Linked DNA regions of Drosophila melanogaster. The protein of the gene in region 3 purifies or fractionates together with the protein of the main gene of each other region. This does not show direct contact. Each region holds a gene or a part of one and is shown on either strand. Other genes may lie near its edges.

Region 1 (9,699 bases), on a different chromosome or scaffold from region 3:
CCAAGTGCGAGATGTCGATGCGATTGCAGAGGAGATCGGCTATCACCTGTTTCACATAGGCAACTGCACCATCGGGATCCCTTTCGATGAGTAGTTTCTGCAGGCAGGAGTTCATCAGGTTGGCCACCAGCGGAGAGTTATCTCTCCTCACGGTTTCTATGCCCTTGCAATCCATTTTATCGTAGGTATCTGGGCGCGTAAAGTATAATCCCGCATAGCGTTTCTTGTTAATCAGCAGGTAAGGATAGTAAACTTTCTCGAATTCCAATTTAATAGGATGCACGAACTTGGAACTGACCAGTTCGGCAGCCTCGCGTCCCAGCTCCATGCTGCGCTCCAGAGTTTTTACTCCGAAATTAACCATCACAGAATCAGTGTCGCCGTAGATGACCACTGCATTGTTCTCGTAGCCATTGGCCTGTGTGTAATGGGATTCCACTTCGTTTTTCGTCATCTCGATCATGGTACGACCGTAGGCGGTGACGCTGCCCGAGATCTCTAAGCATGGCAACTTTCCAACCTGTGCGCCAGTAAATCCGTACACGGAATTAGCCGAAATCTTCAGCGCCAGCTGTCTGCCATCCAGGACCTTTCTTTTAAACGGATCTGTTTCCACTTTTAGGTCATTTTTGGCACGCTTTCTGGCCGCCAAAAGAGATTCCAGAATCTCAGGGAGCAGACCACGACGCACCTCAGACTTCACAAAGTAGTTGTTTGCAGGCGTACGTTCCACTTGATCGTCCTGCAGGTTCTCCTGCTGCCGCAGCTTCTCACGAGTTCCACCCAAAACCAAGGTGGTGTAGCACAAATTATGCGCCATCATTATACTTGGATACAGGGAGGCGAAATCCAGCGTGGAGATGGGGTCCGCATAGTAGCCACGTTTTGGTTCAATCACAGTCGCTCCTTCATACTGTTCATCCGATCCCTGAGAGGTGTACGAGGGCATGATGAATCCCTTGGTTTTGGCCTTGCGCAGCAATTGACTTAAAACCTTTATCTGTTGTCCGCGGGTGAGCAAGGACTCCAGTGGCACACCCGTCACCCTGGCCATCTCCATGTAGTTAACAATGGCCATTAACTTTTCCAGCAATCTAAGCGGTAAGTAGGCATCCTTTAGGCAGTACATGGCCAAACGTCGACGTGTCTGCTCGTCTCCATTCTGAAGATCTGTGATAATGCTATGATGCACATCCTCCTTTTGCTCCTGCAGAAAGTGATAGCTCACAGCGTTGAGAGTGTACGAGCGTAGTTTGTAGTCGCGCAGCAGGACAAAGAGGAGATCGAAGGGAACTCTACCCTCAAAATTAACGTACTGGTTTTCCCTGCGACCCATCTGCTTCGACTGCAACATCTGTTCCTTGATCACCGAACGAATGTTCTTAATCCTGCCCAAATACTCAAAGTTCCTGACCTTCAAGTGAGCTGCTCGGTTAAGCAAATAGGGGAAGTCAAAGTTGTTGATATTATATCCGGTCAAAATATCCGGGTCAACTTCCCGGACAAAGGCAGACCACTTGTCCAGCATCTGGGTCTCCTTGTCGTGGCACAACACCTGGCTGCCTATGATTGGAGCGCATTCATTTAGGGTAAAGACATTCCTAATGAAAGGTTCTCGTTCTCCCTGCCTTATCACCATATTGGCTATCTGGATGACTGGATCTATTTTGGCTTCCGGAAATATTCCTTTGCGACCAGCGCATTCAATATCAAAGGAGAGGATCCGGAAGGGAGCCACCTTGGACCATTCACCTTCGGGCTCGTGGGATATAAATCTGTCGAAGGCCACGTCTACTTCAATCTGGCAGCGGGATTCAGGCAACGGCTTGCTGTGACTGTTCCTTATTCGCCAGTGACCCATGGGAAGCTCTATCCAATTGCAACCTACCACATCAGTGTCCACCATGAAGCGAATGTCAAAGTCTATGTTATTCTCAAAGGCGCGACAGTCCTGGAAGTCAATCTCCGACATGATCACTTCCTTTTTGAGGAGACGTGAAGCCGCAGCCACAAATCTGGGCAGCGTAACCGATATTTTGATGTACCTCTGCTTCTTGTCTCCATTGTATCCATGGATGTTCAGCTTCTCCACCAGTTCCACCATAAGCACAGCCTCCTGGACATTATCTTTGTTGTTGCGAATATCGGCAATAACCTTTTGATCCAAGGCTTTTTGTAGTTTCTCGCAATGGTGCTCCTCGAATTGACTGGGCGCCTCTATGTAGAAGTATGGACAGAAACCATGCACATGGCAGCACACAGAGTTACCCTCCATGGTGACACCAAACATTCGGACCACCGGCACGGGTCCTATTTGGGCACCTGGCATTCCCGGCAACGGCTGTCCCAAATAGTTTTCCACGTCCAGCTGCTGAAACTCCAAGTTGTGCTTGGAGGGATCTAGTTCTGGGGGCGGCGGACGGGACCAACGCTCACTGGTCGTTTGGTTCTCGGGTCCATCGCCCATTAGCAGAGTCTGGTCCATGTCCTCGGAGTTCTCGAAGGCGGCCAGCTCCGCCTCAAAGCCCATTTCCTCATCGTCATCAGGATTCCTGCGTGAACAATTTTATATTGACTCGTATTAGGCCATTCAAAGGGTTACTCACCTGGGCTTCTTGGCATGTCCATTGGAGGTTCCATTAAACTTGCGCTTGCCATCCATTCTGGGTACCTTGGTGAAATGTTACTTGCAAAACCATAAGACAAGAGCGATGCCAAAAAATAAGGCGCGCTTTTGTTGGTAGGCACGTTAGAGTGACCGCAGCTAGATGTAACTACTTTGTGAAACTTTTTTAGTGCTCCAAATATTTCAAAAACTATGAACCAAAAAAGGAGACTTTAAAATGTTAACTTACTAATATCAGTGAAGGTTATTAAGATCACTTATTTCTATGACCTGAAGATAAAGGGAAATAATTTTTCAATTCCAAACATTATTAATTAATTTCCTCCCCAAAATTTTACGTCAACATTTTCATTTATATTAATACGAATATAAGATAAAAATGAAAACACAAAATTAAAGTTTTGAATGGGGATTGAAAACCAGCGAGTAACTACATTAATAAGCAAAAATGAAAATAATTTATTTTTTTAATATTTGCTATAAAAATACCACACCTCTTCTTAAAAATACCAAACAAGTTGCGAAATTCCCCGCGATAGTGTTGGAAGTCGCACCACACATTCAGTGCTATCAGCTTGCATTGTACCACCAAAATTGCTTCTAGTCCTCCGAAATTGGCAGGTAAAACGCATTAAACTGATAGCCGCAATAGCCGTGTCGTCACCAGCAGATCCTGCCGAGAAACGAGTGCTAGAGCACTGTGGAGAAAGCAGCTGCCGTGTGAAACTCCGGTGAAAATGACAAACCTGTGAATTCCTCGAAACTGTTCCTGGTGGGGGTGTCTCTCCTGCTCTCTCCCTCTCTCTCTATCCGCTCACCCCTCTCGCTCGCTCGCCCGCTGGAAGGAGGGGGATGGACGGTTGATGTTACGACGAGCACCTCAGCGCAGTGTGAATCACGTTTGGACGACCCCAAGGGAACAGCGACCGAGAGAAGCCAGCGATGTACCAGAGTGCCTGCCAGGCGGCCACTACGGGCTCCTGTGTCCCGGGAACCGGTCAGCAGCCAGACAACGAGCGACAGTCGGCGCTGATCGCCCAACAACCCCCCACCGCGCCCGTGGAGCCAGATTACAGTGGCTTCGATATCGTTAAGGCCACCCAGTATGGTGCCATTGCCCGAGTACGGGAGCTGGTTGAATCCGGCTGGGATGTCAATCAGCCGGACAGCGAAACGGTCACCCTGCTTCATTGGGCGGCCATTAACAATCGTAGGGACATCATCCGGTACTTCCTCGAGAAGGGCGCCACCGTGGATGCCGTGGGCGGCGAACTTAATGCCACGCCCCTGCACTGGGCCACTCGACAGGGACATCTCGGCGCCGTTGTTCTGCTAATGGCCGCTGGTGCAGATCCGAGAATCAGGGATGCGGAGGGTTGCTCCTGCATACACATCGCCGCCCAGTTCGCCCACACCGCTCTAGTGGCCTATTTCATAGCCAAGGGCGTGGACCCGGATCTCCAGGATCGAGGCGGAATGACGGCGCTGATGTGGGCAGCATGGAAGGTAAGCTTGGTTTTAAAGCCCGATTTTTACGGGGGTACAAATATCATATATGTACATATAGAATTGTACATTTATCCACAAAAAGAATTTTTCCAATTTTTGGGAAGTACTTGAAATTCAAAAAAGTTCAGTGGAATGTGAGATAAGAAGTTAATATTCAATAAGTGTGTCACTACTTATAAACTCTTTCTTTTAAGGTTTGCGCACTGGATCCAGTGCGCTTGCTGCTGACCCTTGGAGCGAACCCCGCCATGGTTGATTATACGCATGGAAACACGGCCCTGCATTGGGCTATCCTGGCCCGCAATGCCACGGCCATTTCCACACTCGTGCTCAAGTCAAAGGCCTCGTTGGATGTACCCAATCTGCGGGGTGAGACACCGCTCTCCATGCTAGAATCCCAGACGGGAGCCATTTGGATAGGAGCGAAGGTAATGGACCGCGTGAAAGAGGCGGCACTTACTTCGCAGCAACGGCGCTCGCTGCTCTCCAAGCTGCGGCATGACAAACGCCTGAGGTGGTGGTCCATGGTGGCCTGCCCCTTCACCGCCTTCTATCTGGCTGGCATCGTGTTCACCGTGAACACGCTGTACATTATTAAGTTTTTCCTGTTGGGCTGCTTGTATTCCATATTCCATACGATCGGCAAAGCACTATTCGATGAGCACCTGATGGCCCTGCTGCCGCTGAGTGTTTACCTGGCCACCAAGGCCTGGTTCTATGTCACCTGGCTAATGTACATCGACGATGCCGTTTCGTTTACGGCCACCGTTTGCTTCCTGATCTCCTCGCTGCTATTGTGGGTGTGCTTCCTTAAGTCGTGGAAGGGAGATCCCGGTATCATTCGACCAACCAGAGAGCAGCGATTTAAGGTAGGTGTCTGTTTTCTATTAACTCGCCACTAACTTATGCGATATACTTCTTATTTATAACCTCATAGACCATCATTGAGTTGTCGGAGCGGGGTGGAATCGGCTTTGAGCCCGCCTCCTTCTGCTCTGGCTGCTTGGTGCGCCGGCCCATCCGCTCAAAGCACTGCTCCGTGTGTGATCGCTGTGTAGCGAGGTTTGATCACCACTGCCCCTGGGTGGGCAACTGCATCGGGCTGAAGAACCACAGTTACTTTATGGGATTCCTCTGGATGTTGCTGATTATGTGCGCCTGGATGCTGTACGGAGGCTCCAAGTACTACGTGAATCAATGCAATGTGCGATTCGATGGTGAGTTTAACAATTGAGCGTTTAGAATCCTTCTTAAATTGCGATCGCCAACAGACTTTCTCGGTGCCATGCGGGCCATTGGCAACTGCGATGCCTGGGTGGGCTGGGTAATGGGTAACGCCCTGCTGCACATGTCCTGGGTCATCCTGTTGACGATCTGCCAGACATATCAGGTGATTTGCTTGGGCATGACAACGAATGAGCGCATGAACCGGGGACGGTATCGCCACTTCCAGGCCAAGGGCGGCCACAGCCCGTTCACACGTGGTCCCATCCAGAACCTCGTGGACTTCCTCGAGTGCAGCTGCTTCGGATTGGTGCAGCCCAAGCGAGTGGACTGGATGAACTACTACGACTACGATGCGCAAACGCATCAGACCATCGAAAAGGAGCCGCTGCTGAGCGTGGATTGTCCAGATGGGATGGCTGGCGACCACCAGTATGTGTAGGATAAGACCTATCGGGATGCGAAGACGCTTCAGATGCCCATCGCGCATGTTTAACAACCAACACGAAACGCTTTAGAACGTCCGCTACTGCTTTTTTCTCCTTCCCAAAAATCCAATTCGTTTCATTTTCGCAACCATTTTAATTGGTCCCCGCTGATCTGCTGCAAAAATATATATAAACTGCGATTCGCAAACAAGAATTCAATACAACCAAGACAGAAGCGTCATCGCTGACCGATATCGGATGGACGAGTTGGGGTCCAGGCCCATTGTGGCTACCCTTCACTAACGTACATATTATGAATGTATTACTGTAATTACTCTGTATATTTCTGCGTATTTCTTACTCTTCGATCATAAGCCGAAAGTACACAAAACCTTTTTGTCCTTCAAAGTATTTGTATACCAAAAACCTAAATGCAAACGTAAGCAAATGAACACCGAACAAATTTAACAATGCAAACATAATCAAACCAGAGTTTGTTTAAGCGTGCAATATTCAAGATTCTAATTCACCTACTGAGATATTAACAAATTGTAAAGCGCACACAACAAAAGGAAACACCAAAAGTAAACTGTCAAAGTTTTAAGAGATTTGCACGGAGGTGTGTGGGTTCTGAGCGAAGTTCGTCCTAGGCGGGCTGCTCATTGGAGCCTTATCTTATGGAGAAGTGTATAGTTCCGAAAATTCAGGACTACGCAACCTTCACAGCCGACAGCTCTCTAGGATCGACTACTTCGCTTCGGGAACGGCACGCAAAGACTTTTCAAATATCACTAATTAACGTGGCAAAAGCAGCGAAGACAACAATTTAATCGATTGATCCCAAGCACTAGCATACTTAAATCAATAATGAATTAATTCTAAATGCGATCCAATTCTAATTATGCACTAGTCTAGTCAGAAAATTATTTAAGTAAAATGTTAAAGTGCAACTACAGCCACAAATTCGATAAATAAATTGAATATTTATATAAACCCATATAGCTATGAAATGATCTAATTATAATGTAAAAGGAATTTCAGCAACCTGAGAACAAACCGCATAGCAATGAATAAAATATGTTGTAATTGTAACACGTTACTTAAATGCATTTAAATATTAATTCAAACGAAGTCTACAAAACCATTTTAATACAAACAAACGCTAAGCAAACCTTTTCAACTATGTACTGTACGAAATATTGATAAAACAGAAAAAACACCACTTTTTCGACGTATTTTGTATTTGAGATTATACAAACGGATGTGCGGATGAAGGATTTGCTATGAAGTTATATGTTTCAAATCCATTTTGTATATTCCTTTCGCTCACACTGCTAGAAGATGAAAGCTTTCAAAAGACTATATAAACCGAACAAGATCTAACATCAAGCAAGCCCCTACGAAGCATTGCGCATATTAACTTATGAACTAAGTGTTTTTGGCCTATTTAATAAAGCAAAAAAAGCAAATCAGCCCCATTGCCTACATCTTTAGTTTAGCGACTAAGTTCAAGACAAATATATTTAACTAAAGATATATAAATGAATGTATTAAATAGTGTGTAGAACGATGGAAATTGTGAGCTCGACGAGGTGTATGTGTATGTGTAACAATGTGCGTTAAAAACAAATTAAAATAATAAATAGACCTTTATTCCGTATTCAAAAAGCTCGAGTTTGTCCATCATTAAACGGATTCTAATGGGCTTAACACAAATTAAAGGCGTTTCAGATTGGGTTTTAATGTGTTTTTATTGTTTGATGACATAATATTGTAGATTTTAAATTTCATTTTTTGTTTTTATTATTTTTTTTTTCTTTTTTGTCGACATTGATGCATTACATTAATAGGCTCACTTTAAAAAATAGAATTTCTTCCCTTTTATGATAAATTAAGTGAATGGTTTATCGATTGGTTTTCGTTTTGCTTTTACAAAAAGTAAAACATTTAAAAGTAGGAAATTTAAACGAGTTCTTGCGATTTACTGCTATTTAAATTTCGTGATTAGTTGCAATTAATTTTTAGCATTTGCCTTAGACTTTTGCAGCGGGTGTAAATGATATACAATACATATATTATTTTAGCATTATGTATAATTTACTTGCTTGATTGCAAAAAATATGAGAATATCGCGCGCGTTTGCAACGTGCCAATTTTTGTATCCTTTCAATATTATTATTTTTAGTCTAAGCAAATTAGAAACACAATGGCTTATGCACTAAATAAAAGAATGGTTGCAAAAGTTAGTTGAGAAATACAAGACATTGATTACACATAGAGAAAAAGATAAAAAGAGTTCTGTCTGGACTGGTCTGTGAGCGAATCGTGTATGTGTTTCGGATAGCAATAGCGTCTTTTGTCTATATAATATATTTATCAGGTGGGATTTCGGCGTGGCCAGCTTGAGCTCAGTATATATATATACTATATAATGATTGATATTTGGTCGGAGTTGAAAGAAGCTATAGGTGTTTCATCGTTTACATTCGTTTCCCATTTTCACATGCACAACACAGAATACAGAACGCGGCCGAAGGTGAAGTTCATGTCGAAGAAGGGTTAAATTAGACGTAAATATATATATATATATATATTGCAATGCGTTTCATAAGCGCACTTGATAATAGGGGGAAATTAACGTAAATCGGTTAAAATATTTAGATGTATAATTTTTCATTAAGCCTAATACAATGTTTTACGACTGCGCCTGGCCGAGTTTCCAAAGACCGGCAATTAGAATTTGCGCTAGGACAGTGGGCTAATCGTAATACCAGATTGGACTGAATGTGTGTACAGAATAGGGTCGAATGGAACCTGCCGACTTTGGACCATCGATAAGCGCAGAATAAGCGAATCTTTATATATTATAACTACGGACGCGCCGCAGACTTTTAGATGCTTTACAAAGTGGCTTACAGATAGCCCATTTTCACCCTCTTGCAATGCAACTTGGCTGCTTTAAGCGCGGCCCAATCCCACTCACGACTGAGAGACATTTCAGGAAACCAGAATGTGATACGATGAAGCCATTTATGCGACAAACCCGATATACCAACTATGACATTTGCCAGTGCCAGCGATCAAGCGTGAGTGGGAGACCGCGCTTAAACTTAATTCTTTAATAAATATACGAAATATTATACATGCCTAAGTGCTAGAAACATGTGTAGACACATGCCTTAAATATATATATATATATATCCATGTATGTATGTATATATAAATTTGTTTTAGTACACGTATTATATATATTGTTTTTAGTTTTCTCTTTTCTTTTCATTTTTTCTTCTCCACATTTACTCATATTTCTTTTTGTTTTCTTGTTTTTTTAATAAAAAATATATATAAATATAGCTATTTTGAATTTGATTTTATCTCTCTGTTCATATGTATAGTTATCATTTTTGTTTTATGCATTTAAATCTTTTGCTTGCTCAATTGGTTTACCATTAAATACGTCTACAGAGTTATGATTATTGGGTAAAAATAGAGGCTTATGCTTGGATTTAATATACCCCCTAGTTGGGGTACCGCAAAACGCAGTAAGCAATAAGCAGTTGTTTAGAAAAAACACAAAAAAATAATAATTATTATAATTGGTTTAGAGCAAAACAAGAATAAATAACAAATGTGCCGTGTAAATTGGGTTCTGTAAAAATTATGTATATCATATAAAACTTATGCTTAGGCCTAGGTGTCGATCTGGGGATTATAGTTGATAGCAATTGGTAGTTGATTTCATCTCGTCGACCCATTACCATTCGTCCTGGGGTACTGAGTGAACTGCTTGGGATAGGGATGCTTTGTTTGCTTGCTTATCGGCTTGCTTGGTCTTGTAATATGTAAACAATTTATCATATATTTATAAACATTAGTTCCCACTGATGTTACGTCTTTTGCAGCAACTCGCTT
Region 2 (7,163 bases), on a different chromosome or scaffold from region 3:
TATGTAAATGAATCGAGAGCGATAAATTATATTTAGGATTTTGTTATCTAAGGCGACATGGGTGCATTGCTCAAAAACATGTAATTTAAGTGCACACTACATGAGTCAGTCACTTGAGATCGTTCCCCGCCTCCTAAAATAGTCCCTTAGTGGGAGACCACAGATAAGGTCCTCGCCGCTCAAGATAGGCAGATGTGCCCGAGCGTGGGACCTCGATAAGGCGGGGACTATTTACGTAGGCCTCTGCGTAGGCCATTTACTTTAAGATGCGATTCTCATGTCACCTATTTAAACCGAAGATATTTCCAAATAAAATCAGTTTCTTACAAAAACTCAACGAGTAAAGTCTTCTCATTTGGGATTTTACAATTTCAATGGAGAAGTAACAGATACTTGATTCAATGGGAAAACATACGTCCTCATATTTAGTTTAAACTACGAATTGTTAACATTTTGACAATTTAGAACGTATGTTTACGGACACAGCTGCTTTAGTTGGCACCAACCTACGTTTCATCCCATTTCAGCTAATGCAGTCCTCGCCTTGCTGGCCGAGAGAAAACCCTGTGATTACCCACTTGGCTCAGCTGCTACCTAAGCCAGTGACACGTGTTAAGCATTACGTTGACCTGCTGATGCTCGTCCTGTGGGATCCGGAGCCCAGCTTTAAGCGCCCATAAACGTGGCCATCGGAATATTATTTCGAAACGATATTGGGCAAGCGATAAGCATAATTGCGGCAATAAAAGTTTCCAACTTCTGTACGACACGCTCTTGGATCTGCTGGTAAAAATGCAACTGCAGCTGCTGCTGTTGTTCGAAGACGCTAGCTGATCGAATTGAGAAATACCCTTTGATATGGGGTTTCTTAAGAAAATTAGTTTCAGACTACTTTAGTATACAAAGCAATGTCTCAGAATAATCTGGGATTATTATGAATTGAGTAAATAAATATAATAGCTGACTGAAAGATAGCTATGTTAGACTTTAGTTTAATGATCAAGTAGGTTCACAGAACTTTGTATATACCATTCTGTATAGTTTTAGGCCAGTGATACAGGGCTCCTAGCCGGGCTGGGACACATTATGATACCCTGTGAGAGGCGCCAGAAAAAACAGAAGTGGCCGGAAAGGCATGTCAGACAAGCGTACGCTTACGCGGGAATTGCCAGGACTAAAACAGCGTTGCATGCACCCAACACACACACACACCAGCACAACCATCAGCATCCAAACGAACGCATAACAATGCAAACTTTATGGGATTTACGGGGGAGGATATCACCCATACCCCAGCTGGGGCGCCACCCCGCACACACCCCCTCCCCCCCCTTACGCGCATACGTCAGGATATCGCCAGGACGCATGGTTCTGGATCGCAGCTGCGTATGCAACGATTTTTTTAACATTGCATTTACCTTTGATTCTATCTAGCTACTTGTTATTCCGCTTTCTTTGCTCCTTTTTTTTTACTTTTTGTACTTTTTTCTTACTTTTTATACCCTTTTCACATTTTTCGGGTCGGATTTGTGCTGCTCAACAATTGTTATTGAAATTGTTTTGCCAATTTTTGGCCAACCATAAAATTTTGTTTGCCAAGGATACTTACTTGTGCCACCGAATGAGAAATCGCCTGAGAAGGCAAAAGCATGTGAGAATGACAGAGAGAGAGAGAGCGGAAGAAAGAGAGAGGGAGGGAGATGGCAAATAGACATTTTCAAGAAGGGTTAGTACGATTGCCGACATAATGGACCAAGGCAAATAAAAACGGATCTAAGCGCACTCTAAATTCAAAATGAAATTGGTTAAAAGTCCTTTTGTGCAGCATGTGAAAGATAGCGAGGCGAGAGAAGAGGGCAGCAGTTAGTAAAATGTCCTCCGAAAATAAAGCGGGGCATCCATAGCCCCACATCCGCGATACTCACTTGTCTCACCGGTGGTACATGTCGCTGGTGCCGAGGGCGGTCCGCGTCCAATATTGTTCACGGCTATCACGTAGAACTCGTACTCCGTGTAGGGACTCAGGGCACGGACCACATAGTACATGGTGATGATGCCGCTTATCTCGCTGAAGGCCTGGTTGGCGTTCTTCGGCTTGTACTGGATCACGTAATATTGCAAGTCCTCGGGACCCTTGTACGACCACTCCAGACGCACCGAAGTGGCGGTCACCTCGGAGATTTGCACATCGGTGGGTGCGGTGGGCAGAGCTGTGAAAGACACCAGGTCGTGTTATTACGATTATCAGTTTCCCATGTAAGTACATCGCACTCCAAGACCACTCCACTTACATTGCACTTTAACCACCGAAACGGAATCGATTTGGCCCAAAGTGGAGGCCGCTATGCAAGTGTAGTTGGCGCTCTCCTGGATATTGATCAGCTGCAGGACATTTCGTCCGATTGGCATCTCATTCTCGGGTGTAAGATCTTCGGAGCCTGAAAAAAAAGGATAGGAATTGAGTATTGAAAGACCATATTCTACAACCATTTGACATACCCTTCATCCACTTGACATGCGGCATGGGTGAGCCGACGGCAATGCAGGATAGATTCAGATTAGATCCCAACATCACCTCGCTGATGGTCTCTGGTGGGCGGGAAAAGGTGGGCGGAACACGACGGACTTTCACATATAAGTTGGTGGCCTTCGAGTGCTCCGTGCCCATTGAGTTCTCAGCCACACACTCGTATTTGCCCTGATCCTCCTCGCGACTGTTTTCGATTTGCAGGAAGCCTAAAAGAAATAAGAGCGATATAGTTAAGATTTATTTGAAAATTCATACAACTTAGGTCATACTTAAGAATCTATGCTTATTGGAAATATACCTGATATTTATTTCTAGAACAGCTGCCAAAATTTCAGCCTGTACCTGACCAATGGGTTGGTTAACCCTTTATATAGCTTTATTTTACAATCCATCCAAATGCAGTTGCCCACTGATGCAATTGAACTACCTGTTTTCCATATATAAGATACTATTCTATGACCAAGGAAGTCAGTATTCGTTCGAGTCTCTCTATGAGAACAACACAAAATGTTGAATGTGTTTTTTTTAACCAGCCTCTTTTATGCTGCAAGTGCCACCACATATGTGACCACCAATAATCACATCGAGATGCCCATATACCAGAAGCGTCCTTTGAGCGAGCAAATGGAGATGATTGATATCCTGGATTTGGGTGACCGTCCGAGACGACAGGCGGAGCCCAATCTCCACAATTCAGCATCGAAATTCCTTCTCGAAGTTTACAACGAGATTAGCGAGGACCAAGAGCCCAAAGAGGTCCTGCATCAGCGCCACAAACGCTCGCTGGACGATGACATCCTGATTTCCAACGAGGATCGACAGGAGATTGCCAGTTGCAACAGCATCCTTACCTTTTCGAGCCGCTTGAAACCCGAGCAACTGGACAACGAGCTTGATATGCACATTACCTTCAACACCAACGATGTGCCAGTGGATTTGAGTTTGGTTCAGGCCATGCTCAGGATATACAAGCAACCAAGTCTGGTGGACAGAAGGGCGAACTTTACCGTGTCCGTGTACCGAAAACTGGACAATCGCCAGGACTTTTCCTATCGCATCCTGGGCTCTGTGAATACTACGAGCAGCCAACGTGGCTGGCTGGAATTCAATTTGACAGATACGCTGCGGTATTGGTTACACAATAAGGGACTGCAACGTCGAAATGAGCTAAGGATATCAATTGGCGATTCCCAGCTGAGCACCTTTGCAGCTGGATTGGTGACACCACAGGCCAGCCGCACCAGTTTAGAGCCCTTTATTGTCGGCTATTTCAACGGCCCCGAGCTGCTGGTCAAAATACAGAAACTTCGTTTCAAGAGAGATCTCGAGAAGCGAAGGGCCGGTGGTGGTTCGCCACCACCTCCTCCGCCGCCGCCCGTGGATCTGTACAGACCACCGCAGTCCTGCGAGCGCCTTAACTTCACTGTGGATTTCAAGGAGCTGCACATGCACAACTGGGTGATAGCGCCCAAAAAGTTCGAGGCCTATTTCTGCGGCGGCGGTTGCAACTTCCCGCTGGGCACCAAAATGAATGCCACCAACCACGCCATCGTCCAAACCCTGATGCACCTGAAGCAGCCGCATCTGCCCAAGCCCTGCTGTGTGCCCACAGTTTTGGGTGCCATCACTATTCTGCGGTATCTCAATGAGGACATCATCGACCTGACCAAATACCAAAAGGCAGTGGCCAAGGAGTGCGGATGTCATTAGATTTAATTGCCTATTTCGTTTGTGATGTACATAGTCATGGTGTAGTTATAAGTTTAAATAAGATGAATACAACTAAAAGTACTTCTAAAACTGACATATTTGTGTTTTAAACCTAGGCCGTGTTCGCATATCAACTGTTTAAAAAGGCTTTCAAAAATATCCATCGATGCTTAAGTAAGTTACTAAAACTCTTCATTAAACTCAAGACCCAACTAGTTGCTACACTTACGAGAACCTAAGCCTATTTGAATATTGTGCTGCAAGACTTTTATGCTTATTAAGCACAACCTCTACTTGTTACGCTCTTTTATGACCTGCTTTCGTAATGGGCACAGGGGTTTAACCGTAACAGACTCGTAAGATCTTAGATTTATCAATAAATTTGAAAGTCAAATGATGTTTGCTTATCTCCCATCACTTTGATAGGCAACCCACATTATCCTTGCCCCATAAAAAGGTCCTCAATTCACCTTTATGCACGGAATCCATCCACTCGACTTTGGCATGCGGATGCCACGGCGGCCATGAGAAGCAACACATGGAAAATTAACACTTTTTATATGATTTTAAAAGCCATATAAATTTTACGACAAGTCACCGCCATCCCCCGAAGTTGTTGCAATTCCTCCAATGAGAAATTACACACCCGCACACGTCTATTAAAAATCGAGGCTCCCTTTTTCCGGCATATTACGCTAATGTGGATGACAAACATACGGCGGAAACGCCAGAGGAGTATTTTTGATGTTTGGAGTGGTGGTTGTGGTGGGGGGGGGGGGATAGGGTCATAAAATGCCTTCACATTGACATTATATTTATATGACTAATAAACAATGAAGCACGAGAGGGCGATGAGTAGACAAAATGAATTTTACGCAAACAAAATCCACTTCCCTTCGGTGTTGTTATGCTTCCCCCAAAAATCCAGTGGCTTTTAAATCAACACAGTTACGAATGCGTTTTTCCGGCAAACAATATTTTTGATAGCCATTGGCATTTTGGATCTGGCCAAAACCATTAAGTTGTGGCCCAAATGCGTATGTTATGGCGCTTTTTAATTGACCAATAACTATGATTTCACACGATGATTCAGAGGGACATAGTTGACATCACATGATTTGTTTTACTCGGTTTATAATTTATTTTGCAAATTCATTTCATACTTTTCGCAAAATCATATTAGCATTTTAAATGAACCATAAGAGATTCGTTAACAGCGTGTGAATTTCTAAGCGTTTAAACTCCAAAGCCGACTGTTACTGTGTGTGTGTGTGTGTGCGAAATTAATCATATTGAGTTCGATATTCAATTTTCTCTCGCACACAATTAACGAACAACCTCAATTCAATATGCACACGTGCACTCACACAGAGAATGTGTGTGTGTGTGTGTGTGGGTGAGCAAGTTGAAAATCTGCATGAAATATGACAATTAATTTGCGAAACAAGAGTTTTTCATATGCAATATTATCGTTTAATTATTTATTGCTGCATTTTGCGCATATTCAAGCAGTATTGATCGCGCTTAAACGGAAAGCTTAAATTAAAAAATCATATTTCTTTTAATATGATACTGAGCTTAACATTGCGATCGAGTGTAAAACGTTCATTCTTCTTCAAAAGAACAGCGTATATATCTTCCTGCTCGCAATCATATTCGAATGTTTAATGAATTTTAATTAAATAATTTACCAGTTACCCCAAGCAAGTTTTGAAAAGAAGTAATTACCATTTGTTCCATAAAGCCTATGGCATATGTTGCACATTGCAAATTTGTGCCGGTTTAATATCCCTTGGCAAAGGGTTGTGTAGTTACCATTTAAAAGGAATAATAAATAGACCGTGTCAATAAACAAATATGGGAGTACAATCGACTACAGTTGAGTGAATCATTTTAATGGCTTCAGAAGCTGCAGGGCATAAAAAAAATATAGACGCCAGGCGTCTCGAAAAAGGGTATTTTAAATGGGAACATTTTGCGGAGTAAACAAATTTCTAATTTATTAAAAGCCTGCATATAACATCAACTAATTTTTATCTATATTATATCTAAATTGTTTCTTTGCTTAACCCCCCCTGAAAAGAATCTTTGACTACGCTCGTGCCCTTCGAATATTGAGCAAAAAGTGCAGAACAGCGTTAAATGTTGCAAAATCGCTCAGTTCGCACTAAAGCCATGTTTATTGTGTCTATTTTATGTACCTTTCCGTTTTACTATGGATGTCATTTTTTGTTTGATAGCAACAAAACAAACGGGGCAGCTGTGGGGGTCATGTGTGGGGGGGGGGGGGATAAAAAATAGGCAGATTGCTGTGCGGTTTTTAGTGCAGCGCCCATTGAAGCTGTGTTTTAGGTTTGTTTTCGCTGTGAAAAGGACGCTTTGTGCTTTTATTCGCGCTGCCACTGCCGGCTCACCTATAACATGCATCAAAGTTGATTGTTGCGAAATTTATTGCATGCTATTTGGCCTGCATGGCGGAACATTTATTACGCTTGTTGCACTTCCGCTGCAGCCAGCATTTCCCCAACAGGCCGGCCTATTGTTTAGGGCCCGCTGAACCATTCAAAACAAGCATTAAATGGTGTAACTTTTATAAATAATCGATCCCCTCTCGTTTCCCGCTGACATGTGTAGTTGAGCGATCCAAAACAAACGCTATTCGCGCCATCAGCCTTGCTGACAATATTCGAGGTAAGGTGCCACAATATGATGCAAATTGTGGAACAAAAAGACAACGTCTGTGGAGAGCGTTGATTAAAATTTACGAAGCCAAGTTTCATTAAAACTCTTGCCAACCCCTCTGCCAAATACATTAACGTAAGCCACCACACACACACACACACACACACAACTTGCGTGCGTGATGGCTGTAGCAATAAAAATTAAGCTAGCATACATCTGGGCGCCGTCTGCGTCCCGAATG
Region 3 (7,821 bases):
GGTTCGGCATTGTTTTGTTTTTTGCTTAATTTTTTGATTTTTTTTCTTTTTGTATTTGTTTTTAGCCCTGTTATCTCGACGATATATCTACGGTGGCCGGTGGTCGATGCTCGATGTTGTTCGAATGTTCGGTTTCTGGCTGAGATGCTCACTGTGCCGTCTGGCCGGCCGGCCAATGTGGCATTGTCTTAATTATCTGCGGATTTCGTACTCAGGCCGTGACTATCTATTGCCGCCGCCGTGGCTTGACTCATCGCCATCATCATCACCTCGATTCGCATCTAGCATCTAGTATCCTCCTCATCTTCGTCTGCATCCTCGTCCACACATATCCACATCCACATCGTCGTCATGCCCATTCCTCGTTCGCATTCCCATTACCAGTCTCATCATCATTGTCACACGGTAAGAATTTAGATGGTTTTGGAAATTGTGTCAATGGGCTTAAATGTAATTAGATGTTAAAACATCTGAAAATATAATAAAGTAAAAATATAAGATAAATTATAAACATTTTAAATAGCATTTTAGTTAACTCCATATTGAAATTAATATTAATCTTTGGCAATTATGAGTTAAGATAACGAAGCCGCTTTTATGGTTTCTTTTATAAAAGTTTTACCATTCAAGATGTGCTGTAATCCGAATTTGCCAAGAATTAGCCATTGTTTGTTATTAACTACTATTGTTTCTTTTTTTTTAGCTCATTTTGATGAAATGTTTGCCGTGCAGTGGAAAGAGCAGCGGCTACACAATCAACTTCTTCTATTCTTCTATTTTTCTCTGGCAAGATCACGCGCCTCTATGCGATCGCTGATAAAATTCTATTTTTTTTTAGCCCGTCTGTGTTTTTTTGTTCTTGTTATTTTTTCAACTTTTTTGCGGATTTATTGTGTTTATATTGTTTTTTTTTTTTGACAGCATTGCCGCCGAACTGTGGCCATAAACATTTGCATTCGCTTGGATTGCATTTATTTATTGAATTTGCATCATGTGCTGGGTTCAATTTATAGGTAGCTATATTCGCTATTTATATATATAAATGAAATATATATATATATATATATATGTATATCTGTTTATAAGGATAAGCCCCGCACGTGCCCCTGACTTTATGATCGCGTGCTGTTTGTTTGCCCGTCGCTCTTTGTTTGTTTCCTTTTCCGCCGGCTTGTTTGCTTACCTTGCCAACTTGTTTGCCCCCCTTTTGTATTGCCCCACCCCTCTTCCCCCACCTCCTATTGTGGCCCCCCTTGGACCAACGCCCATGCCAAAAGGCACTAATTGCCGCCGCATTTGCAGCTGATTTGGCGCTAAGCGAATGCGAGCTGCCAGGCAAATATTTATGGGGTCATTCCCGTCTCGTGTCAGCCGCTGGCCAAAAAGCCAAAACAACTAAAACAGCTTCAATATCAGCTAGCTAGTATGGCCCTGAAGATTCCAACCGAGTTGCTAATTTAGTAAATAACAAATTTGATAACAGTGCGAGCAACCTGGTTTATCTACTAATTGTTAGCCAAGCTAAGTGGCAGGGATTGGGCAAATTTTATTGCAAAAACTGATATAAAAAAGGTGAAGCCTTTTTGTCAATTAAATATGTCATTTGCTTTTTATATTTGCACATCTTATGGTGCCTGAAAATATTTTCATATGTAATTATTGAACATCTATTTCTTAGCAAGCTGAGGAGAATTATATCAGCAATGTCAAAATTATAATAATAATATTTTTACAGAGTATGCCAGTTTGTCTCGAAAGCTTGAAGTGCGATTTTGAATATATTCAGTACAATCAATTAGTAGCTTATGACACATTTTATATATATTATGAATATTTATAATATATTTATTTCTATTCAATGCACTTTTGTGCCAACGGAGCATTGCCCAATTTCCATCGAAATCGCAGCCATTTTCGAGCTTCTCGCCAATTTCCATCACGTTGCAGTCTCGATCGCTTCGAAATATATATGTAAGTTGGAAATTCAGAAACTCAGAAAAACAGAAATTCAAAAAGTCGGGACTGAGACTTTGACGTTCGATCGTGACAGAATATGAATTGAAAGGGAAACCAGATTGTTAGCACTCGACTATGGGTATAGAGATGGTAGAGGTACTGGGCATGTCCATAAGGTTGGATACCGTTGTGATAGTGTGTGTATTCATAGTTACACACATTATCGAGCCAGTGAAAATGTTCTACACAACTTTGCTATGCTAGTGACGACTATTTTTAGACGTCCAGCACCACAGCACTTTGTTGGCAAAAATGCAGTAACAAAAATAAATAACTTGGCCAACAGTTAGTTAGTTGTTGTTTGCCTCGCCCCGCCGCACTTTTTTTTTTTGATGGATCATCGCCGTCGTGACGTCAGCAAATGTTGTTTTGTTCGCTGCACCGAAGGCGCAAAAATATTCGGCATATTTGTGTTGATCTCTAGCCGTCAAGCGTCATGAAACGTAATGGATACAGCTCCTTCCGCCTGGCCACATCCACGGCATTGTGGGCTGTCCTAGGTTAGTTTTCACTGTACTCGAGTCGAGTGGGCGAGGCCAAACGCCTCACTAGCCGCCAATCCCGGGCACGATTGGGCTGCCAAGAAGCTTTTGGCTTCCATGGGAAGACAGCGAAAGCCTTTAAAATGCCAAGCTGCACTGGGAAAAAAAAAACAATGAAGTAATGTAATTGGTCATGAACGAAGCTTTTGTAAATATACGCATTAAGCGATTTCTTTAAAATATATATTTTTTTTTACTTATGTAATAAAACTATTTTAAACTGTTTTTTAAAGCTTATAAGTGAAAATAAGTTCCTAATTATTAGAAAACTCAAAAGTATTCATTATTCATTACTTTTTTATCCTGAAAAGTTGAAAAGGGTTTGCAAATAAAATGAATATGATGAGATATTATGATAAATCACCTTTAGTTTCTAATAAAGCTACCAAAAAAGCGTTCTAAAGATATCCCTCGGAACCAAATGTATCTGAAAGTCGTAATATCTTAGATCCTAACGTAATGCTCTTGGAAATGGCTTTCTGTGGCTACACATACACATACACATGGCTACACAGCGATTTGTCGCCGCCGTGGAGAGGAAAGAAGAGGAAAGGAGAGGAAGGGAGAGGAGAGTCCGCTTGGAGCTGTCTATGTCTATTTTGCGAAAGGGGGAGATGGTAAGGTGAGCGATGCCGGCGAGAGTGGGTGGCGACATTGGGAGCGGAGAGTGATGGCACCAGAGAGAGAGAGAGAGAGAGAGGGAGATCGAGTGAGAGAGCGAACCGCTATGTCTAGATCTAGGTCTATATGATTATATGCTGAAAACTTCAGTTTGTCAAAGATCGCGACGACCGAACGAACGACGCTAGAGAAACGCGCACCGAAATCGATGACCAATCCAAACGATAACGATTGCCAGCCCGCAGGAGTCATTTCGAAAATTGCGCGCGCGTTTTTGGCGACGTATTGCATATAAATCATATGTATATGTCCGCATATACATATAAACGAAACGAACATATAGAACATATATTTCCATATCTCGATATTCTATTTCATTGTTCATTGTTGCCCCTATTTTTTTTTTCTTGTGAAACGTATGTATGTGCGCGCGTCTGTGGAATGGTGCAATTACAGTCGTAGTTATTGGTTTTTAATGAACCTCTTAAATTGCCATTGAGGAACGTGAAAAGTGCCCGAAAGCCCGAAACGGAAATTATACTTTACACTCATGATTATTAGTTGTGGAAATTGCAGCTTAAATCGCCATTAATCGACACACACATATGGGCGTGGGTGAATCGTTAAATAGTACTCATAGTGATTGCACTGCTACACTGCGTTTCGGCATGTTAAGTCTGGCCGTTTTGAGAAGCAATAACTATTTAACCGAATTCTTCTATTGCCCTTTCAATAACTAAATAACACACAGCGACTTGGCAACGAAATGCTAGCTCTAGAACAGATGAAGGTAATGATAAGAGTGTCTCAACAAACAATACAATCCTGAAACGCACTGTACCTGCAACCTGAAAGCTCTTGCCCCTCTGGATTATAAGTCCGTCACTTTCGGTTTTAATGATCGCATTGAAATGGAATGTCATCGACCAATTTCAATTCTAATTCCATTCCGATTCCGATTCCGACCCAATATCGTCGAGATCGAGGCGACACACGCCCCAAAAACGAGACAATTACCCAGGAATGGGGCATGATTTCTTTTATTATTACTGTGTTTAGATCGAATCTGACGCCAAAAGGGCGACCTAAAAAAAAAAAAAAAAAAAAAACCAAGACAAGAAAAAACGTAATCACAAAGAATGGGAAAAATCAATCGAACATCGAACATTCGATGCGGACCAGTTGCAGAACGGCAAAGGGGGCAGATCGGTGGATAGCTGGGATAGATAGACAGATATATACATAGATATATAGATAGATAGATCGATCGATCGATCGGGCGATCGGGCGATCGGGCGGTCGGGCGAATGATGAAATTTCCAGAGCGTTTCAATAGCAACCGGCAACAGAAAGAAAAAGCAACACCGACCGACAACGAACCATTTACAATTCCAATCGAATGGCAATTGTTGCCGACTTGCAGCATGATTCAAATCGAGGGCGTGACAGAGGAAATGGGGCGGGGGGTAAATACCTAGATTACCGTACTCGATGACGCAGCCCAGGTATGTGTAGGTACTCTCGATCGCTTGAAAGTCGACAGATACTCGCAGTATCTAGCGACAGTGATGAAGAGTTTAACTGCGCTCGGAAAATCCATCATTATCATGCCGCTGATATGATAACCAACCATTGAAATGGCTAAGCAACAATCTGTTAGTAAGATTGTATGGTGTTTTATTTCGATCATTAAGCTAAACTAAAACTTCCATCACTTAGTTCAAACTTTAGCTTGTCTCACGAATCCCATTCCGTCCATCAATTGATCAAACAATCGATCGCCGGATCGTTTGAGTTTGTTTGATCGTTCGATGATCGCGACAACAAGAAGAAGACGACCAAAATTTAACGATGTTGGCCAGTTGGCTAACTGCGGTTTTACTGCCACTTTACGTGCTGCTGTTTTGTCTGGCAAACAAAACATTCGCACACACATGACACACACACGGCACACATGACGTATACGCGATATTTTTGGCCTGCTCTCGCACAGAAACAGAAAGACATAGTGCGAGTGCGAGTGGGACGGGTGGACTGGCGAAGGGAGAAAGAGCTACACGGAATCTCTGTTGCTAGGGTGGCAGTTTGTATGGGGGGTTAGTCAGCTTATAAATAATGGAATATCATCTAGGTGCTTTCTGAGTGCCGCAAACTATGGTGAACTTTCGTACGATGGAACCTCCGGAAAATTACTCAATCGAATCGCACACAAATTTCCCGGAAATCTTATATTTCATTTAATGCTTTTAAGATTTTTTTAAGAACTTTGAACTTAGTAGTTGGTCTCCTTTCAACCTATTCACTTTTAATTTGTCCACTGTTTCTAACTGATTCACACAGATGTCTCAAATGATTGGACCTTCTGGCTTCGATGACCATCAAATCAATTGCATGTGACTGCAGTGAAATAGTACTCAACCACACACGCATAAGTGCATATTTATGTAGTACACTTGAAGAAATTGCATTGAACAAATAATTACAAAAGGAAAAAATATTTTAGGCAGTACGATTTATGGAAAATGCAAATATTTCTAGATTGAAAAAAAAACTTACTTTTCAGCTGTTTTGGCTGTTTAAACTAATGAAACACACCAATATTGATCTTCAACGTCTCCGAACTGTTTTTCGAAATCAAGAAAAGAGAATTTTCTCTCAGTGTGCGCATACTTTCTGGCCTGTTATGCAGTCAAAAGCCGTCACTTTGCCGCTTCTGTTTCATTTGATGTCTTTCTGTGTGCGTTTGCCGTTCGCCATTTGCCATTTGCCATTTAAATGAATGCAGGCAATTTTGCGCTGGTGGCTGCTGTTTTTGCTGCTGTTGTGATTTGCTTTTGATTGGCATCTAATTTATGATTGACAGTTACATTAGAAACATCTCGGAACAGCAAACAATCAGAATCGGGCCTACCGCAAGATCTCGCCAAGGCATCGAAAAAGCATCGCCAGTTGAAGCATCGAAGAGCTGAGACCTTATGGTCGGATATCGACTTAGCTCACGGTTGTCAATCAAGCTATTAAATAATTTACAAACAAACAAACACACACGCGAACACACACATTACATACATATAAGCACACACACACAGCACGCACACATAGATGAGCAGCACACTGAGAATCGAATTTATGAACTAACATCTTGATTTACGTAGTCTTCGCTGGCTGAATGCGGTTTGAAGCTTTGACACCTTGACGGGCATTGTCAAAGAGTTTCACACTCAGCGGCACTCGCACACACCGGCTACTGTTCTATCGGATTACGCGGCGTATGCGCAATGTGGCCCGAACGAGAAGCGATCGAGTATCGAACTGCCAGTTAAGGCGGCAAGTGGAAAATGCAGTTTATCAGTTAGTCAGTAAGTCAGTCAGTCGCTTAGTCAGTTGGGCAGTTAGCCAGCTGGTCAGTTAGTCGCTAAGTCGGCTAGTCAGTCTGTCAGTTAGTCAGTTAGTCAGTTAGTTAGTTTGTCAGTTTGTCAGCCCCCACAGAACAAAGTTGTCTGCCCGATATAGGCCACAATGTGGGGCTGTAAACAAAACTTGAACACTCGACGGAGCACTGACATAACCGCTCTGCAATCGACTGATAAGAAACTACTATATAATGTATATAGATACATATTTATATATATACACATATATATATGGGCTTGCAATTGCCTGGTAGGTGGGTGCCGTAATATTAATTGCCAATGAACCGCGAATGGAAAGGGGGAAATGAATCTGTCAATGGAAATATTATTTTGATAATGAAGTAAGGATGGAGTATTTAATTATCAATTTTGGCCTTATTACTTAAATGTAGTATTAAATGTAATGCAGTAAATGTAAAGTAGAGAACCAAAAAGTTACTTTTAATAATTTTTTGGTGTTTTTATCTACACATTTTCTTTAATTTGGTTGCAAAGTCTTCCCAGTTAGTTCAACGTGACCTTCTGGCTCCCGCTTTTCTTTTTGGACCGTTCAAAGTACAACTTGGCCGGAAAACAATGAGAACACACACTTTTACCCAAAGGAAAATGCCCAACGAACATTTTCACTGGCATACAAAGTGTATTTTCCATCGCCTCGCTGAGTGCGCACAGATTGTTCAGATATACTGGGCGACTATATGGCAATATGGCTATATCTTTGCATGGACATACATAGATATAGATATGCTGTGTGTGTCATGTTGCTGCTATGCTGGCGACGCTGGCGCTGACGCTGGCGTCGACGTCGGCAGAGCTAGCTAAAACTACATAAATCAAAGGAAAAGCATTTTTCTGTTTTCTGTTTTCTGATCGTCTAGCTGAAAATTTGCTTTTGTTTTTCGATTCATTTATATTTCTCGTAGTCGTTTTTCTCTTTGCTTTTCTTTGCGATTGTTGATTGCTATCGTTGTTGCTATTGCAATGGCATTTTGTACGCATGTTTCAGACATTTAACATTTCGTTTTTTTTTCGTTTTTTTTTATATAGACAAGAGACAGATATCGTTCATATACATTACACATAAATACATACATACATCTAGAGGCAGGCTTTTTGTATTTTTTTTTTTGTATTTTTTTGCGGCGGGGCCGTGAGGCCAAAACATTTATAGGAATATTTCAAATTGCAGACGACGACGCCTCAAATGAGGCTGACAAAAGGAAAAGCGA
Region 4 (7,839 bases), on a different chromosome or scaffold from region 3:
TATAGAAATTGATTTCTCTTTCAAGCAAGTCTTTAAAAATGCATCTAACAATGCCATCAATTTTAAAAGGTTTCCACAAAGCTCTTAGCTCCTCACAAACCTTTTCCGATCTTGCAACACTCGAGTACCGATGCTCATCGCAACAATTATGTCTAACCGATGTTGATGTTGGCATTAATAATTTCGGGCTGCTACTTGCCATTTATCAAAAGCACTGATCTTCCCATATGCCGAATGGGCAGCTTAATGTCAATCGGCTCTTTTCCAAGCTCTTGGCTTCTTTGCCCCCGCGCTCTGGGCCATTAATGCATTACAAATAGGTGCGGCAGACCGCAACAGCAACCTGGGCAAAGGGACTTGGCCACAGACGCATCGGTGCCGTTGACCAACGTGACTGAGATTGAGATTGAGGACTGCAGTTCGCTCTGGCTACCTGTGGAAAAGTGGAAAGGCAGAGAACTGAAATCCAGCCAGCAGACGACCTCAAGTGTAAGGCAGCGCAATCGAGTTGCTGCAGCAGCAGCAGCAACATGCAACATCCATAGTCCAGAAGCAGTTCAAGTTTGCGCCAAGGAATTCCTTGCCGCTGAAATAATTAAGCATTGCAACATTGTTTATTGTTGCTGTTGTTGCTCCTGCTGCTGCTGCTGCTGCTGGGTGTTGCAGGCTCGTTTAACAAGGCAGCCAAGTTCTCAACAAGTGCCTCCTCCTGTTCTACAAGTTTTTGCCCCTCCACTCCGATTTTTTTCATTTTTTGCGCCTGTTGCTGCTGCTGCTGGTGCCACTCTAAGGAATTTCCATTTTATTTACATTTAGAATGTGCCGAACGGACTCGTCGCATGTAAAGCGGGCCAAATCGAAAGCTATTAGACCTATTAGCATATCGGGCTGGAACATGGCAAATTTAGTGGCAACATTGTTGCCTCCGCGATAAACGCACTAAAAATCAAGTCTTCACCTTTATTACCGCATCGAAGTGCCAGCGTTATGGCAATTCGAAAAAGAATAGGAAGCGATCGTTACTTATAGAAAATATAGATAAATAAATGTGCAAAACGCCAATCGATTGGCGTACATTTCATGGCGTTTACCTGATTGTTGTGGCCAGCCCACAGTTAACTTAATTGCCACTTCCCAAGCGCTTTATTTACGGAAATACTGACGGCTAAGCGACTATTTTACACGCAGAGAAATGAAGTGCAATTTAGCTAATCAGGTAATAGGCAGGCATTTTTACAAAGTGCGTACTTGTTTCCCATAATCTTTCGTTATGTTGTAAGGATGTTATTCCTTACTTTACAACATTTTCATTACATAATGGAATTGTAATTGATTTGAATATCTATATTTCTCTGGGTGCATCGACTGTGTGAAAGTGTTGTCAATGCTGCCGCTTGGCCATAGCCTACAATCGCGATTGGCTGATCGAGTTGGAAAGGAAAATAGCAAGAAATCATAATAACAACAACTAAAATTTTCCATAACCTTAAAAAATAGAAAAAAAATGAGGCAGCTATTTATAAAATGCGCAATCTGCGAGATGCGTGCGGCAATCTGTCCGTCGGTCCGCCGATGCCGCCAGCTGTGTGCCAAGATGCCGCTGGCCCCCCGAAGTCCCCTCTGTGGAGCCCCCGTTGGATCCCCCCTTGGAGCCCCCCGCCGCACTGCGCTGTGTTGTCTGCGTTTATTGATTTATTAGAAAATTCCAATGAACAAGTTTTAATACACGACACACGGCGAACGATGAAGTCGATGTTGTCAGCGTGCTTGTTGTGCTTTTTCTGCTCCTTGGCTGCTTGTTTTGTTGCACTTGTGTTCCTGAGGCAAGCACAATATACGGGAAGAAAGGCTGTGGGAAAGAGACAGAACAGCCGCTGGTAAAAGTAACAAGTGCAATATTTTAATTACATCAGCGGCAAGAACAACAACCAGATCAGCGGCATCAATTGAGTTTGCTGCATGGATTTTGGGCAGCTAGCGTTGCCAGATGGGCACACGAGGCGTATGATTGATATGGTGAGTAAGGCTTGGGGAATCATAGTATCAAGGCCTAAATAACAAATAAAACATTTTGAAGGACAAACAAAATTTTTAAAAATATTAAATAGATCGATGAGTCAAACGGAGCTCATGTGTGTGTTATCTGCAGAGCCTGACTTTTGTGCTTCGATTTCATTAAACTCTCACTTTGGCATATCTCAAAACGATCTAGCTCCTATAACTCGAACAAGCCGAACAATCCGGCAACGCCGATCGACTCGAAAGATTGTCTGCTCGGGACTCTAAGCATTTTGCAATCAATTTAGATTTGCATTAGCAGCGCTGCAGTCTCGAGAAGTCCGCGACTTAGTCCGAGATTTAGAGCCAAAAATAAACCGAACCAGTTGCGGCAGCGCCGAAAAGTCAAATGTGTAACAGCTCTGTGGCTTTGGCTCGAAGAGAGACTTGAAGAAAGTCAAGATATCGCAGCTGAGACAGAAGACAGAAGACTGAACACTAAAGACTGAGGACCGAAGACTCTGTGTTGACTGTAGACTGTGGACCGGAGACTGTGGACTGAAGACGGCGACTGAGAGAGCTGAAATATTGTAATTGTGAGTCTGGCTTGTTTGTTATTGTTGCCTTAGCGGTTGCTTGTTGTTTTTTTGGCTTGATTAATAATTAATCGCACTCGCACACACACACACACACACACATACTGCCTGTTTTAATTACTCAACTTAAATGGCGCTTTGAGCGACTTAAGCAACTTGCCATCGTGGTCGGCAGTGTGTGTGCGATTGACTCTCACTACTACGAGCTCAAAACTAACTAACTAGCTTGTGTTGCTGTTGCTGCTTGTGTTGCTGTTGCTGCTGTGCTGTGCTTTGCTTTGATGTTGCTGTTGCTGCTGCTCGGCTCTGCTTCTGCTTTTGCTTTTGCTGCTCCGTCTCCGGATCGCTTTTGCCTGCCTGCCTGTTTGCCTTGCCTCGGCCGCTTTGGACGCTCATTCAGTTTTTTGCGCTCAACGCTCGTTGTACGGAACCGAAAAACGCGTTCGTTCGTCCACAGAGTGTCGCCAAATCGAGGCGAAAGATCGCTGGTTACAACCGAATATACAGCCTCTAATCACTTTTTTTCTGCTCTGTAATCGTTCGCGGTTTCTGCGGCCATAAAATAAAGTAAATCCGAGTTAAACGCTGATAGTCGCGCCTGAAGAACCACAGAAAAAACAGAAAATATCTCCCGTCGTTTCTCGTTCTCGTTTCCGCGATCGCTCGTCAGCCAGCCAAAGCCTCTCCGATTTTTGATACCGATTCGGTATCAGATAATATATTCGTAACCATCGCCATTCTTGCGAGTGTGCCAGTGTGAGTGAGTGATGTGTCTGTGTGCCAAATCCAAATCGAAAATAGCCAAAGTCTGAGCTTGGCCACCATCGTCAGCAGCAAACATGTGAAGTGCCAGTGATTTCCATAAGCCAAAATCGAAGTCGAAGTCGAATCGAATCGAATCGAAGCCACAGCGAGATAGATAGGTCGAAAGTATTTGAGTGGATATCCGAGTCGAACCAGTGTATAATGTATGCGACGTTCGCGAACTGCCAGAATTGGTTGTTGTTGCAGTTGCAGCCAAAGGATTTGTGGATTTTGGAGCGTAACTGAGCGGCGTGCAGCAGGTGCACCAGGTAAGCCAAGCCGAGAGTGTTAGCAAATAATGCGCATACGCCATGGTGGCTGCGTGTCCAATTCGAGATCAATCGAATCAATTGAACGGCTGTTAAACAGCTGACTGGGAAAACTGGAACTGGGTGCAATGCGTGAGTCACATACACATATACATATGAATACAATGCATATAGACTGGCTGATTACTTATGTATATAAATGTGAAAGAAATAAATACATGTAACTCAGAAGTCAGTGGATTATTTCTGAAACAATAGCAATTGCAGTATATTATGTTCATTTTCTTCAGAGACTTTAGCACTGTTTAGATTTCTAATGATAAACTTTGCAACCATTTCACTTTTATGCATTTACATTTATGAAGACACCTAAAAAATCTATATTACTATGAGGAAATCTAGTTTGCTTTAATAAGTTTGCCAATAGATAAGTCCCTTCCGCCAACTTGATATCACTGCATAAAGTTTCGACAGATTTACGCCAGTATCCGGGGAAAAAGTGAAATTCTATCTCTGGACCCCGGACATTATCAGCAGAGACATGTGGAGATCGGGTGTCACTTGCATATTCATGGGGGCCAAGTGATGAACTGAATTAACGGCATTCCACACCAGTCACAATTAGCGGCTGACACTGACATTGGCCATGGTAAAAAACCCTTTGACCATATGCCATATACTCGTTAATTTATGACGCCATTTGGCTAATTGAATAATTATATGTGACTGGCTGGGCGTGGCTGGGCAGGGCTTGCTTCGCTTAGCTTTGCTTTGGTTTGGTTTGATCGATCACGATTGCATAAGCCATCCCACATGGGATCGGAATCAGCATCGAAATCTGAATCTAAATCTTAATCGGTATCTATATCGATTTATTCGATTTGCCTTGCTAATGCGACTGGGGGCACTAAATCAGTGTCAAAGTTCACCCCACTAGGCTCAATTAGTTTATTAACTGCGATTTGCATTTGCATTCGCAGGGCGCAGCAAGCCCGTTGGTTAGGTGGGAAATTGATAGCTTCGAAATGTGCAAAGGTACAGAAATAAAGCCCGATAACAAAACTAAGCAACCGCAGCAGCAGCAGCAGCATCAGCTACATAGAAGCAACACATCAGCAAGACAGAGCAGCAATATAATGAGATATAGCTACACAGATATAGCAACAGCTGACGATGAGACCATGAAGGTCTACCACTTTCGGAAATTCGACGAAAATGAAATAAAAATCGTGAGCACGCAATGAAGCAGCCAAGTTGAAGTTGGCTTCCACTTCCATGCCATCCCATCACCATCTCCATCTCAATCTTCATCTTGGCCTGGCAAATCACGTTGCTGATAACAACAACTGAGCAATGCGGCAATAATTTGCTGCCCATGCCCGCTTCGCCCCGCTCTCGGCCAAGTTAAGTGGCTACTGGTCATCAGCAGGCAGCAACAACTGGCTTAGGCCAACATTTTTATCAAAAGTGGTGGCATTAGCAACCGCATCCCCCCCGTTGGCCGCCGAAAGAAACTGGTCAGTCTCTGGAGGCTTGAGACTCCCAATAGTTTCACTTATTTTACACGCATTTCTTAACGATAAATAAATTCCACAAGCAGATGCGGCCAGCAACAGCGGCAACAACAACTTGGCCCGGTCAGCAACAACTTTTGCTATCACGTTTCCATGCAAACAACACACAGCCACAAAAATATTTCCATTGGTATTCGCTTGTACTTGAATTGCCCCACGAAAGATTGTGGGGGGGGGGAGGGTGTTCGAACAAGAGGCTGCAGCAGGTGGCAACTGCAACTGCAACTAATGCTTCAGGTGCTTTTGGCCCGGACTTTGCACCTCAGTCTACCGTTTGGGCCATTCCGATGCCAGATTTCCGCCTGATGTGGCGCCTCAAGGCAGCCGAGAACGATATCCGATATCGCTGGCTGCTGCTCGATGGGTTTATGGTTTATGGGATACACCTTGACTGGAAAACCAATTGGATTGCACAAGAAGTGTGATTTGATAGGTGCAAACTTAAATTATAATTATGTGTTATTATATCATAATCATAGCAAGAAACGCTAGCTAACAATTCCAATATGTATCAATATTCTGACTATGTCAACTATCTAATAATATTAGTTTACATTTTTATTTAAAAGTCGAGCGAGCCCAGCTCAATCACCTGCTAAACTTCTATGCTAAACGAAGATGAATGAACTTAGCTTCAAGGTGGCCAAACGAAACGACACGATTTGGCAACGATCTTCTGTCTTCTGTCTGTCAAATCGAGAACTGATCAATTTTGCTTTTTATTTTATAAATTCTCTCTCGAAAATATATTGTATAAGGTCATCTTCTTCGAGAACCCGACCATACTGGTTTTTTTTTCGGTCCAGAAGATGCCAAGCGCCGTAGTTTCACTCGGCGTTCAACGCGGCGTATGCCTAATATGCGAACTTGAGTTACTTTTCCAATTCACTTTTGCCCCGGCCTTTCTCGCCGCCCCGGCGATTCGCCCAAATAACGCCATCGGTATCGGTATCAATTTCAATTTCGCAGATATACATTTATTGCATATGATTTATCATGTCTGACACTTGGGCCAGACCACTTGTCAAATGGGAAATAGCCACGACAACATGCTGTGATTTTAGATAAATTCATAACTCAGCCCAACTTGTCTTGCCTTCAAAGTTCAAATCACTTGGCGCTCTCACATGGGCCACATATATATATACACACACACATACGCATATTTCATGCTAATTATTTATTTATGAGTTATTTTTATTCGATAAGCCTCAAATGGAGGGACACCATTTACATTTACAGTTATGCGTCGAACATACATATTTTCCGTTTGTTTTTTCAGTTTGAATTTAATTTTCCCACTTATTCCACTGGCCATTTCAAAGGCAGCAAGTCAGCTGTTGCCACTGGCGAATTCGTTTTAACGAACTTGAAATCGCTTTTCGAGCTTCTGGGGAAACGATAATAAACAGCCACTTATTTTCATATATGTATTTCTGTTTGGCTGTATTTTGTAGTCTACTGGCAATGGGACACTAATCAGTGGACTTCGTTACAAAGCTTAGTTTGAAGTACTATTGAATAGCAGGAGCCTTGTGGTTCCTTCAAACATATGTTTTGGATTTTGATAAGTAGGACAGCAGGAAATTCGCAAAGCGGATTGATTAGGGGTCGTTGTTTTCTCGGGGTTTTACATTTGCAAAGTAACAAAATGGATAACAAATTGTATATCAATTCATTCATACTTTAGCTGTGGCAAATATATATATAGTATGCAAGCTTAACTTAGGCTTTAGATTTCGGTTTTCAAGATCTTCCCATTTTCAAAAGACTTCACGCCCATTTGACGACAGAACACGTTCCTTGGGTCTGTTTTTATCCACTGTTTGTTTGTTTAATTACAACGTTGTGGTGATCATGATCATCGGTGGAAGAGAGATAGTTATGGACGACGGCTTCACAGTTAGCTGGATACGGCAGTTGAAACCACTTTCGGTTGGATTCGAAAAGCGTAAACTAGATTCGAAATCCAGATCTTTGCAAGCATTCAATAACAAGATTTACATGTCTTAGTTGCCAACCACAAAAATTCAAGGAAACCTCAGCAGCAACAAAAATAATTGCAACGCAAACAAACCATAAAGTGCATATTTTAATAGCTGCATTGAAGTTTCAGTTTTACAACTCCCAGTGGGTCAGTGAGAATAAATATATATATTTCTAGTTATAATACTTATCGTAATGGGGGATTTTCCAGTTAGTCAGAGTGGCCGTAAAGTCAACATCCTGCGGTGCATTCACATTTTTGTCTCCGACTCCAAAGTGCTCCATTTTCATTGATGCAAATCTCTTATCAGGCCAAGAAAGTGCCAGTGGCACAAACACACTCATTCTGGAACAGGGTGATTAAGGATTTAGTACACCATTATATGATATATAAACCGTTTTCTAAGCAATTGCAACTTTATAGGCTGTGTGATGTGTGCTGAATAATTTACATACATACGTCTTGTGTTTAATCTTTCTAGGTAAAGTAAAGTAAACTCTCTATATACGCCTATATATATTTATATAAATATATATTAAAGATATTTCGCCATTGTGGACACCCTGTTTTTCGGGGTCTGAGTGGGACACGCGTTTATTCCAGCTCCGCTC

Evidence for each region.
Region 1: the proteins of sog (region 3) and Hip14 purify together in Drosophila melanogaster (affinity purification with western blotting; one study listed by BioGRID). This does not show direct contact.
Region 2: the proteins of sog (region 3) and scw purify together in Drosophila melanogaster (affinity purification with western blotting; 2 studies listed by BioGRID). This does not show direct contact.
Region 4: the proteins of sog (region 3) and dpp purify together in Drosophila melanogaster (affinity purification with western blotting; 4 studies listed by BioGRID). This does not show direct contact.

What each region holds. Positions count from the first base shown.
Region 1 is NT_037436.4:15,985,057-15,994,755, forward strand, and holds Hip14 (Huntingtin-interacting protein 14), read left to right. Parts: upstream 1-3,179; 5' UTR 3,180-3,568; coding exon 3,569-4,132; intron 4,133-4,329; coding exon 4,330-5,004; intron 5,005-5,072; coding exon 5,073-5,352; intron 5,353-5,406; coding exon 5,407-5,801; coding exon of another isoform or gene 5,802-5,855; 3' UTR 5,856-7,408; downstream 7,409-9,699. Other genes in the region: PolD1 (DNA polymerase delta subunit 1), read right to left, coding at 1-2,552, 2,607-2,662; hzg (herzog), read right to left, coding at 9,675-9,699. UniProt on the Drosophila melanogaster protein: Probable palmitoyltransferase which is required for photoreceptor synaptic transmission and for the correct expression and localization of palmitoylated protein Csp and synaptosomal-associated protein Snap25. Probably palmitoylates Csp.
Region 2 is NT_033779.5:19,696,797-19,703,959, reverse strand, and holds scw (screw), read left to right. Parts: upstream 1-2,991; 5' UTR 2,992-3,037; coding exon 3,038-4,240; 3' UTR 4,241-4,581; downstream 4,582-7,163. Other genes in the region: Lar (Leukocyte-antigen-related-like), read right to left, coding at 1,610-1,633, 1,935-2,210, 2,292-2,438, 2,500-2,736. UniProt on the Drosophila melanogaster protein: Part of the signal that specifies dorsal cell fates in the embryo. Acts together with dpp.
Region 3 is NC_004354.4:15,628,957-15,636,777, reverse strand, and holds the start of sog (short gastrulation), read left to right. Parts: upstream 1-3,343; 5' UTR 3,344-3,969; intron 3,970-7,821. UniProt on the Drosophila melanogaster protein: Putative negative growth factor. Antagonist of dpp, a protein involved in patterning the dorsal region and in the development of the neuroectoderm; dpp inhibition is enhanced by tsg.
Region 4 is NT_033779.5:2,425,384-2,433,222, forward strand, and holds the start of dpp (decapentaplegic), read left to right. Parts: upstream 1-2,988; 5' UTR 2,989-3,667; intron 3,668-7,839. UniProt on the Drosophila melanogaster protein: Required during oogenesis for eggshell patterning and dorsal/ventral patterning of the embryo.